Linked DNA regions of Arabidopsis thaliana. The protein of the gene in region 1 interacts with the protein of each later gene in a biochemical or structural test. Each region holds a gene or a part of one and is shown in the gene's direction. Other genes may lie near its edges.

Region 1 (6,381 bases):
ACTAGATTTTCAAACAGAAGCAAGATGATATCCAGTTTCCTTTAGAAATCTCAGCTTCGTCATCATAATCATTCGCTCGCAACGGCAGGCTCAGCTTCGGTTGCATAATCGTGTCTGTAGATCAAAGCAAGTGTATCAGTTTGGCAAGGGAGAAAACTTCAACTAATCAACCAAATGCTTATTTGACTAAGTCGTGTCTTAAGATGTACATAACATGTAAAAGTAAGAAGAAAATCAGATGTTCTCTCGATCTTACTTTATTTTACGAGCAAGCTGGTATATGCCTGTCCCTGCCATAGCAACATTAACACTGAAGAGGTTCCAGTTTTTCTGTAAACAAGAGTCGGAATCAAAGAAGTCAGATCAACCATGAATACAATCACTAACATCTCATCGCAAACGCAAGGGAGAAGATCATGATAAGAGAGTCTTACAATACTAAAAATAGATTGAATTTTGAAAGGGAATGTAAGGAAACTTACCGGATTGATTACCATGCTGTAACGAGACCAAATAACACCAGTGCATGTAACCGCTGATGCAAGAAATATCAGAGAATATTTGAAAGTACATTGAAGGCAGTGCAACACAATGAAACTGATCAAGGAACAATGACAACTATGGGGAATATGATAAGCCTATAAAAGTCCACAATTCAAAACAGAGGAGTAACCTTCTGCAGATTAAGAAGATGATAGAATAATACATACCGATTTGTTGAGGATAGGAAAGTTTCTCTGGAGGTTTGGCAAAGTCTGCAATGTTGGCAATGCTAATACCCCACTTGAACGTTGGTGCCCAGAAATGAACTGAGAAAACACAAAATGAGAGTCTTATTGTTTGATGTTCTGAGACACGAGTGACGTGAATTGGTAACGGAATCTATCACTTATGAAACCCATTATAAAGCAAAGAGTGATTCTCCTGGACCATAAGCAACAAATCAATCCATCCTCGAGAACTAATCGAAAGTCAAAATTCATCAAAAAGTGTTTGTTTTTTTTTTAGTAGAAACAAATCAGGATTCACCAGAAAAATCGAAAAGACGAGAAAGTGGAACTTATAAAAGACAAAACTAACAACAGATTCCAAGGAGATGTAGATTGCTCAATTATCCATAATTGAATCGTCAATTTTACATGAACCAACAAAAAAAAAATGAATCATCGAAATCGATGAGGAAAGCTAATCATCGTGGAATTGACTCACTGGTTTTAGGTCCGGCAGGGTGATTCCAAATAGCTTGAAGCTTCGAAGTCGCCATCGAAAAGTTTACCCAATTCCCAAAAATGCTCTAAATTTCACCAACCAATAATCGTCCCTTTCTGTCTCTCGCGAGATTCTTCTCCCTTCTCTCTCCCTGTCTGGCTTAAAACACTAACAAAAAAGGGCTGCAGCTATGTACGATGTCGTTTCGGACATAAAACGACAACCGAGGGTATTTTGGTACTTTTCACTCTTGTCCTAGTGGACTTTGTAGTTTCTACTTTGAAAGTCGTCGCGAAGACTTTGAGAGACAAAATCGCCATTGAAATGGCAAAGTTTCAGGCGATTTTAACATGCGAAGGAATACACAGACGAAGCCTATCGATAGTGAGCACTTTTCATCTTCTTTATCTTTCTTTCTTCTTCTTCACGGAACTCAAGCACGATGGCTCGAACTTTCATCTTGTGGCTTCACGGGTTGGGAGATTCTGGACCTGCTAATGAACCCATCCAAACTCAATTCAAATCCTCGGAGTTAAGTAACGCTAGTTGGCTCTTCCCTTCTGCTCCATTCAATCCGGTTACCTGCAACAGTACGTTCTTCCTTTTCTATTTTCGATTTGCATTCATTGATTTCGTTGTTCATGGTTTATGGTTTGATTTGGGCTACAGGGTTCGGTCTCCACTTCATGCCATTTTGATTTAGCGTTATTATTTGCCTCTGTGATGTGAAGGAGATTTGTCACATTCTGTTAATTTGAAAGACATTTAGTCAAATGTACACAATTTGATTATCTTTGATTTCTCTGTGGTATCTGTTGGTGTCATGTCTCTTAATCCATATGTGTCTGAAAAAAGCTTATGTCTTTCTATACTTTCTTGTGCAGATGGTGCGGTGATGCGTTCTTGGTTTGACGTTCCTGAACTTCCTTTTAAAGTGGTATTACTTCACTTCACTCTTGATCTATCTAACGCCTCTTATAGTATGAATTGGCAAATAGTTAATGGGCTGGTAGCTCCAAGTTAGCACCTTTTGGTTTGTTAAACCTTATGACGCATTATCTAGAATCAACACTTGTTCAGCAGATTGTGTAAAGAGCAGAGCACTCTTGCATTTTCAAGAGATTTTATGAAATCACAATAAGTGTGCAACTTTTATGTATGTTAGGGCTCTCCAATTGATGAAAGCAGCGTGCTTGAAGCAGTTAAGAATGTTCATGCCATTATAGACCAGGAGATTGCAGAAGGAACTAATCCAGAAAACGTGTTTATCTGTGGATTAAGCCAAGGAGGTTGTTTCTCTTTTCATGAATTCTTTGTCTTTTCAATATTCTTTGTAGAGAGACCTTTTTATATCGGTCTGAATCCACTTATGTCTTAAGAACCTTGCATTGTGGCGCCTAATAAGAATTTTCTTGTAGGAGCATTAACCTTGGCTAGTGTTCTGCTTTACCCAAAAACTCTTGGAGGAGGTGCCGTCCTAAGTGGATGGGTTCCATTCACTTCTTCAATCATCAGTCAGTTTCCCGAAGAGGCTAAGAAGGTTCCTCACTTATGTTTTCTTATAAACGTTGATCAATGTTTTTGTGTTTCTGAGTCTTCAGACTTTGCAATATGCAGACACCAATCTTGTGGTCTCATGGCACTGATGACAGAATGGTACTCTTTGAAGCTGGTCAAGCTGCTCTTCCTTTTCTCAAAGAAGCCGGTGTTACCTGTGAATTCAAGGTATATTCAAATCAAAACTCTTTTTCGAGACAAATGCATGATAGAACTCCAATGTACAATTATTTATACTTCTAAGGTGATTTGTTTATCTGCAGGCATATCCTGGTCTCGGGCACTCGATCAGCAATAAGGAGCTGAAGTATATAGAGTCATGGATCAAGAGACGGTTGAAAGGTTCGTCGTCTACTTGTCTCCAACTTAATTGTCTTAAAGAAATGTTCCACTGAAGGTAATAATAATACCTACATGTCGTCTATGAAGACAAGAAGAAGAAGATTGACAATTCTAAGCTCCTCGTATGGTTTTGTTTGCTGTGTCCTTCTAGTATGATTGTATCGATTTGAATTATGTATATGCAAGCATTGGAATACATTTGCAATCTTGAGTGTGAACATGAGAACATAAAACATAGCCAACAAATTTGATAATCTTTTAACATTGAGGGCATTTTAGTCATTTAGACATTCTCCAAAACAAAACATTTTTTGAGAGATCGATCTCGAGAGAAAATGGTGAAGGCATGCGAACAAGTAGACTGAAGAAGCCGATTGTTCTTCTCACTATCGCACTATTGAGCTCTGTCTTCTTCTTCGCATTCTTCTTCCTAAACAAATCTGACGTATCATCTACCTCTGCTTTACGGAACCGAGACTCCATGGCTCGAACCTTCATCTTATGGCTTCACGGGCTAGGTGATTCCGGACCTGCCAACGAACCCATCAAAACACTTTTCAGGTCCCAGGAGTTTAGAAACACTAAGTGGCTCTTCCCTTCTGCTCCACCAAATCCAGTCTCTTGCAATTGTATGATTGCCCTTTACTTTCTGATTTTGGTGTTGTTCGTTTCTTTCTTCTCTAGGCGTTGACTTTGATCATCGTTTTTGAATTGATTGAGCTGAACAAATTTGCATTCTCCTAAATAATTCGAACTTTTAGGTCTAGTCCTTACTATAGGAATGATACTAGTGTGTCTTTCTTTTGGATTTAGTGCTTTGATGTGTGATTCATTTATCAAATTATGGCTTAGTCATCTAAATCCTCCCTCATTGGTAAATGCAGTGGACAAAATTGAGTAAAGATTCATACTTTTTCATGAGAAATCTTATGTACTTGCTAAATATTGTGCCTTTGCCTCTTAATTTGTCTTGTGCAGATGGTGCAGTGATGCCTTCTTGGTTTGACATCCCTGAGCTTCCTCTTACTGCGGTAACACTTCTTGTTCAATACTTTCTAAATTTGTAGCTTCAGATTTTCTAATATAGTTTGGGGTCATCAGTACTTGTTTAGTAGATTTTAAGGTTTATAATGTACAAAGAACAGGCTGCTTTAGCTTATTAAGGAGTTTGTTCTGTTCTAGAGATATTTTAAGTCATCAAGTAAGTAAGTTTTTATGTGTTAGGGATCTCCGAAAGATGAAAGCAGTTTGCTTAAAGCAGTTAAGAACGTTCATGCCATTATAGATAAGGAGATTGCAGGAGGAATCAATCCAGAAAATGTGTATATCTGTGGATTTAGCCAAGGAGGTGATTTCTCTTAGCACCCTCCATAGTTACCCATTTTCATGGATTTACACCTTCCAATTTTTCTTTAAACTGCAAAGCTACAATGTGTTGATTTATTTGTATTGCGACTCCTGAATAAGATTTTCTGCAGGTGCATTAACCTTGGCGAGTGTTCTTCTTTACCCTAAAACTATTGGAGGAGGTGCAGTCTTTAGCGGATGGATTCCATTCAATTCTTCGATCACCAATCAGTTTACCGAAGATGCTAAAAAGGTTGTTCATTCGTTTTTCGGTTTCTTGTAAAGGGTAAATGTTGATTTTCCTGTCACTGTTTTTTGGGTATCTGAGTCTCTAAATTTTGCATATGCAGACACCAATCTTGTGGTCTCATGGCATTGATGACAAGACTGTACTATTCGAAGCTGGTCAAGCAGCTCTTCCTTTTCTTCAACAAGCGGGTGTGACTTGTGAATTCAAGGTATAACAATAAGAACTCAAATCAAACACTCATATATTTGCTCATATAACAGAGCAGTCAATACTGATCACATGGAAAGATCTTAGAAACCGATTCTTGGAAATGTATATCTAAAGAGAGTTCGTTTATCTGCAGGCTTATCCGGGTCTTGGACACTCAATCAGTAATGAGGAGCTGCAGTATCTGGAGTCATGGTTAAAACAACGGATGCAGAGCTCTTCTTCTTCTTCATAAAATGGTTTTTAAAGGCAACTTTGTACTCAAGGTAACAACATCCTAGTACCTATCAAGATTAGAAGAAAAATGATAACATCAGCTCATCTCTGGTCCAAGTTTCTCTATCATGAAAACCGGTTCTGGTTGAACCAATCTTGTTTGGTTATGTAAACCGTTACTTTTGTTAACTACAACATTTTGCGTACTTTGCATTGATTTGAAAAATTATATGTCAACACTAGAATTCTTTTATTTAGTCAACAAATCAAGTGACTACATAACTCGAATTGTGTTCAAAATGCAAAATCTGACCAAAACAAAACCTGCATATGTTCACTCAAATTTACAGTTTTTGTCGGGTAAATAGTTACCAATGACAATTGTTTACAAATTTTTGTGAAATGGTGTTTCCGTAACTATAAAAATTCAATTATTTATCGTAGAAAAGAAGACAAAGAATCATATCATAATAAGTCACCATATACAAACAACGATCTGAGATTCTGAATAATGAAGTTTTAGCATATATATGGTCGACATCTAAGTTTGAAACCATATAAATAGTTAAATATTATTAGATCCGACCAAAAAAATCCAAATGAGTTTGCATGGTCTGTTGATAGTACAGGGTTATTTTCGTCAAAACACATAATTTCCCATTTGCGCCCATATTATCTCTTTGGATTCTCTCCCCAAGCACCCACCGACTATAAGTGATTTTCAAGAATTACCCTTTCACCATCTCAAATATTACAGAATCTTGACACTATAGTGACAGCTAGAAATAAAGAATCTGAGTCCAAAGAAATATTCAAATTTGATTTGATCTAGCCCGCTAATATTTGTACTGTACTGTATATTTTTATAGTGCTTTCAATTAGTGCAATCATTAGGAATTTGATTATATAGATCACGTGTAATGTAAATTAAAATTTGCAATTTTAGACAATATAGTAACAAGGGAAAGATAAATAACAATTATACGTGCATGAACTTGTTATGATTATTGAAATGCTGGCATTGGGCCGTTGGTGATGGTCCTACCAAAGAGAAGTCTATTACTTTGTTAATATCAATCGAATCTATCAATTCTTGTGACTCCAACAACAAAACTCTAATCATCTTCTTTTGAAACAAACCAAATACTAACAAAAATTTCGATCTTTCAATTTGAAGTCCAAGGTTGTATTGTAACAAGGGTCAAAGTTTAACTTTCTCGTGACAATTATCGAGGCAAAGATATTGGATATTG
Region 2 (5,931 bases), on another chromosome or scaffold:
AGATTTCCATAATTACGAGTTTCGACAATATTATGTACAGAGTTCTGTTGGTACAATACAACACCAAAGAATTTCCAGACAGCAATCTAGACTAGATCACTTCTTTCTCTGGCAATTATTTGTTTATGTCAAAACAGATCATCTTTTTGACATTAATAGAAAGTTTCGTTCATTTGGGTCATTCAAGTAATCAAGTGTACATTGATTCTTAGGAGTGGATTTTAATTTTCGGTAAAAAGGTTTATGTAGTAACTCAATGTATATGATAAATAGTTTAATGTCAACAGTCGAAATTCCAATCCTAGAAATACTCAACTTCGACAAAAAAAAAAATGGTAAGTGGCTAAGTGCACCAGTTCCCGGAAGTTAATCCAAAGAGTTAAATCATTATTTTTCGGCACCAAAAAATATGCGCAGTATAGTAGATCCATGATATAGAGTTGTTGACCAACATATAAAGGTTATTTTTAAACATAGTATTATATATTGGAAATATTCATCTGATCATCTCTATGATTAATTACCATCATCGTAATTAACGAAGAAACATAAACAAAGAAATGATATGTCTCATATGGACGAAGAAGAAAGATTGAAAGAATGGGAAGTATCTTTGCATTTTGGCAGTTACGCTAATCCAACTGACATCCCCAAAGATTCTGGCCCCTACGAAACCATTGTTGTCGCTGTATGTATATACATTTGATTCCTTACAATATTCTAAGTACATAAATGTTATGGTAATAAATTGATGGGTCCTTTTAGTCAAAAATAATAATATTGCTTGGGCAGACTCTTGTTTAATAGGGAGTGTATACATTTAAGGTTCGAATGATCGCAGAACAATGGGAAACGTTTTCAACTTTTTATTTCTGAAATTTTTTGCGTCATAAAGTACAAAGATTCCGTAATAATTACCATTAACTATAATATATTCGTAATAAAATTATCTGGCATGGACATTGGAGAGGGAGACATACATACGACATATCATTGATTTAATGGAAAATATGAGGTTTGATGAGAGACAGCAAATCATTTTTCATGAGACCATTAAATCCTAAGTAAGTGCTGATGCTGGCAATTAGGTATAAAGTCGATATCCTCTTCCTCAATCACGTTCATAATCATCACAATTAAGAGTTATATTATTAAGAGAATCAATAAAATTTTGTGCAAAATTTCTTAATAGAAAGTAAAGTTTAAACGGTGAAGCATGGAAGACGTATTCGATTGGTGGCAAACGCTTTCAACACACTATTCGATTTAAGTTTTGTTTCTTATTTGAACATTAAAAACTAACCATTTTGCGATCATTTAACTTACAAAAAATCTGGTTTAAGTTGTTAGATAAACACATCATCAGTTACACTTATTCCGTTGTAGATATTCAGAATGTTACATAATTTTAATATAATTTACTTAGAAAACAAGGACAAGTTGGGATCCATAAAAGAATAATTAAAGAAAAAGTATGGGCTCCAAATGATAATCTGGTGCACGCGATAACACAAACACCGGTTTAGTGGGTCCTTTGTGGCAGAGAAGCACACGTCGAGTAAGGAAGGATCACCCTCTTTCTATGTCTTTGATCGGCTCAATCCCCACCGTACATTCTAATCTCTACGATTTGGCTTTGCTTCGAACAAGTTTATTCCTTAAGGAAGTTAACGGACCTTAGCTCAGTTTGATCACAAATAAAAAAAATTCAGGTCGAGCTCAATCAACCAAACCGTATAATACTAACTCACACTTGAAATCTGTTTTTGATTATTAGACTACATACAAGACATTAGAGACTTGTAAAACAATATATTGGTTTTATGTCGATTAGTAGGTAATCTATCTTTCTAACCCTAGCTAATTAAAACAACAAAACCTTAGCTTGCCAAAGCTCATCCATTAATTGAAAAAAGATCTACTAAGTAAGTATAGTTTTGTATATACTAATTTGTGGGACAAACAAAATTTCAAAATGGCTAATGAGGACAAGATTTATACCCCACCATTAAAACAATGTGACTAGTTATACATCGAGTTGATATGATGGCTAGCTTAGAGGAATAATTTATAGTATACTACATTGAAATAAAAGTAAATTCCATTAAGAGAGAAAAGGAAAAAAAAAAAGTGAAGAAAAAAAAGAAATATTCTTGCTTCGAAGGCCCGTAGTTGAAGCCGTTGGCTGAGTGGGCTACTGCTCTTTACCTTCGTTTTTACGTTTCTCCTCTCTCTTTTTTCTATTGATAACTTTCTTTTATCGAAAGAGAATAACAAATTCATTAGCAAAACGCTTACTTGAGTACCTCTAAATTTACCAAAGTAAATTAAGTTTGACCACTTTTATCGGATACACGTCGAAAAACCTATAAGATTTACCTCTCTTATTATTATTTTTCTGTTGGATCACAATTAGTATAATACTTTAAAATTTATACTAGTAAAGAATATTGGGATATATATTCTCATAGTATATTTATTATTAGAAGATCATTTTATTATTCTCATTTTCTCAATTTTCTTCAATATAAGTTATATAACCGTGGACCATAGTTTCTTTCTTTGTCAACAATTATGTAATGTGGTTCTAATAAATGAAAAATAACTCAATAGTGTGTATGCTCAGCAATGGAATACCTAATTCAAGTCATTAAAGAGAGAGAAAAAAAAATCACGACGATTGGTAAATGTTAATGGACCAATGGAAAACCAGAATTAAATTACCGGTTAAGTTTGGTTCGGAATTGACGGTTTAGACGGGACAGCTGAGTTGTTAACGAGCTGTCACCGGATTCTACGGGTCACCCGTTTTGCTTCCTTCATCAGATAATAAAAAGATCCAACGGTTACAATAATCAGATTCTCTTCCCTTTATTCCTACTTTTTATTTTTGATTTTTTCTTTAAAACCCTCACTGTATCTTTTTATCGGTTGTTGGTGGCAGTTAGGTAATTTCACCTAATAACCTTTTTTTTTTTGCCTGTTATCTCTTTTTAATATACGTTTCAATATATTTTAATTATTATTAAAAAGTTCCCGTTATACGAATAAAATAGCATTTAATATATTTTTGTTTCTGGAAAATGTGTAATTATCTTTATATAAATGTTCATATCAGAGCACTATTTCTGGGTTTCAAAAAGAAAGCTCAGTTAGCTATTTTCTCTACCACAGAAGAATCTAGACCCAGAGAGAGAGAGAGAGAGAGAGAGAGAGATCAGTAACGAGAGAGTCAAAGAGAGGAGATTTCAGTGAAGATGAAGGAGATGCAGGCAATAGAGACGTCGCAGCCGACGACGGTGGCTCCGGCGGTGCATAGCCGACAATTGGGAGCTCAGTTGTCGGGAAGTATGAGTTTCAGCAGCCAAATGTCGAAGGAAGATGAGGAGATGTCTAGAACTGCGTTATCTGCGTTTAGAGCGAAAGAAGAAGAGATCGAGAAGAAGAAGATGGAGATTAGGGAAAGGGTTCAAGCTCAGCTTGGTCGTGTCGAAGAAGAGACTAAGCGTCTTGCTTTGATCCGTGAGGTATGTATCTATATTGGTTATTTCATATATAAAAAAAAGATTGTTTTTTTTTTGGAGAATTGTGCTTCAATTTTGGTTTTTGTTATGGAAATTTTTTGGATTGGGATGTGAAATTGAACATTTGGGGTTTTTATATTGTATAGAATGTGGATTTAATTCATGTTTAAGGGGAAATTGTAGGACCCAACTGTTGGAAATTTCAAGATCTGACAATTGCATTGAACAAATTCTTTTATAATTTTCCTTTGGTTTTTGTGTGGTTTATGCCATTTGGGGAGAAAATTTTGGGGCTTTTGTGTTTGTTTTAGGATTTTAAATGATCAATAGCAAGTAAACCTGGATTTGCTAAAAATAAGCTATTTGGATTAAGTTTTTTGTGAAAAGAACCATTTGCTTCTTCTGGGTGATGTTAAAGTTTATGAATCTGGTCTTAGTCTCTGGTTTTAGTACTTTTTCCCCTCAATTTATGGGCAGAACAGTGAAAGTTTCTACATTTATAGCACTACTTGATAGAGATTAGCTCTGTGGATCAAAGCTCTTTCCTTTCTATGAAAAGAACAATTTGCTTTTCCTGGGTGATGTTATGTTGATGACTAAGAAGCTCAGTGGTTAAACTGCATTTCAGGAACTTGAAGGATTAGCTGATCCCATGAGGAAAGAAGTTGCTATGGTTAGGAAGAAGATTGATTCTGTCAACAAAGAATTAAAGCCATTGGGCCATACAGTTCAGAAAAAGGTAAGGCTAAAACATAATCAAATCCATTGACCTGTGTTTAAAATATGTTTTGTTGAGGATTCAGATGCTAAGCTGGTTTATTTACGCAACTTGCAGGAACGAGAGTACAAAGAAGCTCTTGAAGCATTCAACGAAAAGAACAGGGAGAAGGTGCAGCTAATCACCAGGCTAATGGAGGTTAGTCAACAAATGCTCAAGTCTCTTTTCGTTGAGTTTGAATGATTGAGTTAACTGGTCTAGTTATTGTACTGCTTCTCTCTGATTTTTGGTTGTGTTGTCCTTTATTTTTTCACATTACCCTTGCTTGTGTGGATAAACACATTAAGCTAATTATTGTCTTGTAGCTCTGTTCTGAGAGACATGCATCAAACACCGATAGTTTTAGGCATATTTGTGATCTTGCGGATTCAGTGTTTAGTAGATTTTGATGTTGAGTTCTTGGACCGGTCTGTGTGTTTGCTTAAAGCTATGTGTGAGTCATCTCCATAGTTAGCGGAATCAGTTCCTTCAAACTCTATCTAAGTGTCTTCTTTTTGTATGAGTTACATCGATCGTTCTTGCCATTTTCTAACATAATTTGTCTGTAAACTGAACATATTCATCAAACCAGTCCACTCTGATCTGTGTCGAATATATTCATTTTGTTATGTGTTCTTAACTTGAATTGCGTTCTTGACTTAACGGTTTCCGATTCGAATGATTCGCAGTTGGTGGGAGAAAGCGAAAAGATGAGAATGAAGAAGCTGGAAGAGCTAAGCAAGAACATAGATTCTATACACTGACTTTGAATCCAAGACAGTACAAGAACTTCTTGGGCCAGAGATCATTCTCTGAGTGTTTTAACTCTACGTTTAGGTTTGGTGGTGGTGAATGTAATTTATATTTTATAATCGTCGTGTGTTATATTACTACTACAATTATTATCTTTGTTAGGGGTTCTTGGAGAATTTATAAGTGTAATGTGGTTTTTTTAGGAAGTAACTTCAAAAAATACTCATCAAGACAGGTTTGTAACTAAACGCTTCTTCTTCTTTTCTCTGAACTATCTTTCTCTCTTTATTGTCCTTTCAATTGATTTTTTACTTATCTCTCTTTAAAACTATTGTTCTGACATTTGTAGCATAATGTACAAAATGTTAGGTATTAAGAAAAGTGGAAATTTGTTTATATCATGTGCGCTGGGAAAGCTATAAAGATTAATAGAACATTGTGTAACTTGTGCGATCGATCGGTAGGTTAAGTTAAAAAAGATGGCATCACGAGATCAGATGTGATCTATATGTCGACCTTTTCCGAATTTGGTTTTATTCCAAAATGACCGTTAGAGAAAAATGATTGTTTCATGAGGAAGGAAATTCATAAAAATAATATCCAGAAGGCAAACCTTTATTTGTTTATCATTAAATATGTCCTCAACATTTTGACATGTAACCATTTATCTGATATTAATATCAAATATAAATCATATGATTAATGAGAAAATTATATAAACCATACTATAATTATAAACCAGACGTTTTGTTCATTATTTGATGGAGGGTGCAATAATAAGACATTAATGATCAAATAATCAATGATGATGTGGCTATTGCAATGGGAGACATAGATATCATCGTAAAAGAAACAAAAAAAATTCCTTTATTGTTTTGTGCAGCCTTTATTTTCATT

Evidence for each region. Proteins that work in one complex are often made in the same cells at the same time.
Region 2: the proteins of SOBER1 (region 1) and AT3G09980 form a complex in vitro, tested with the Arabidopsis thaliana proteins (one study listed by BioGRID).

Annotation. Positions count from the first base shown.
Region 1 is NC_003075.7:11,786,326-11,792,706, reverse strand, and holds SOBER1 (carboxylesterase), read left to right. Parts: upstream 1-3,394; 5' UTR 3,395-3,454; coding exon 3,455-3,737; intron 3,738-4,086; coding exon 4,087-4,139; intron 4,140-4,332; coding exon 4,333-4,456; intron 4,457-4,586; coding exon 4,587-4,708; intron 4,709-4,805; coding exon 4,806-4,913; intron 4,914-5,048; coding exon 5,049-5,147; 3' UTR 5,148-5,408; downstream 5,409-6,381. Other genes in the region: AT4G22310 (Uncharacterized protein family (UPF0041)), read right to left, coding at 69-114, 257-330, 483-535, 711-809, 1,210-1,264; AT4G22305 (alpha/beta-Hydrolases superfamily protein), read left to right, coding at 1,652-1,799, 2,094-2,146, 2,375-2,498, 2,628-2,749, 2,827-2,934, 3,030-3,161. UniProt on the Arabidopsis thaliana protein: Carboxylesterase.
Region 2 is NC_003074.8:3,066,101-3,072,031, forward strand, and holds AT3G09980 (ankyrin repeat 30A-like protein (DUF662)), read left to right. Parts: upstream 1-2,989; 5' UTR 2,990-3,257; coding exon 3,258-3,527; intron 3,528-4,152; coding exon 4,153-4,263; intron 4,264-4,359; coding exon 4,360-4,440; intron 4,441-4,970; coding exon 4,971-5,045; 3' UTR 5,046-5,431; downstream 5,432-5,931.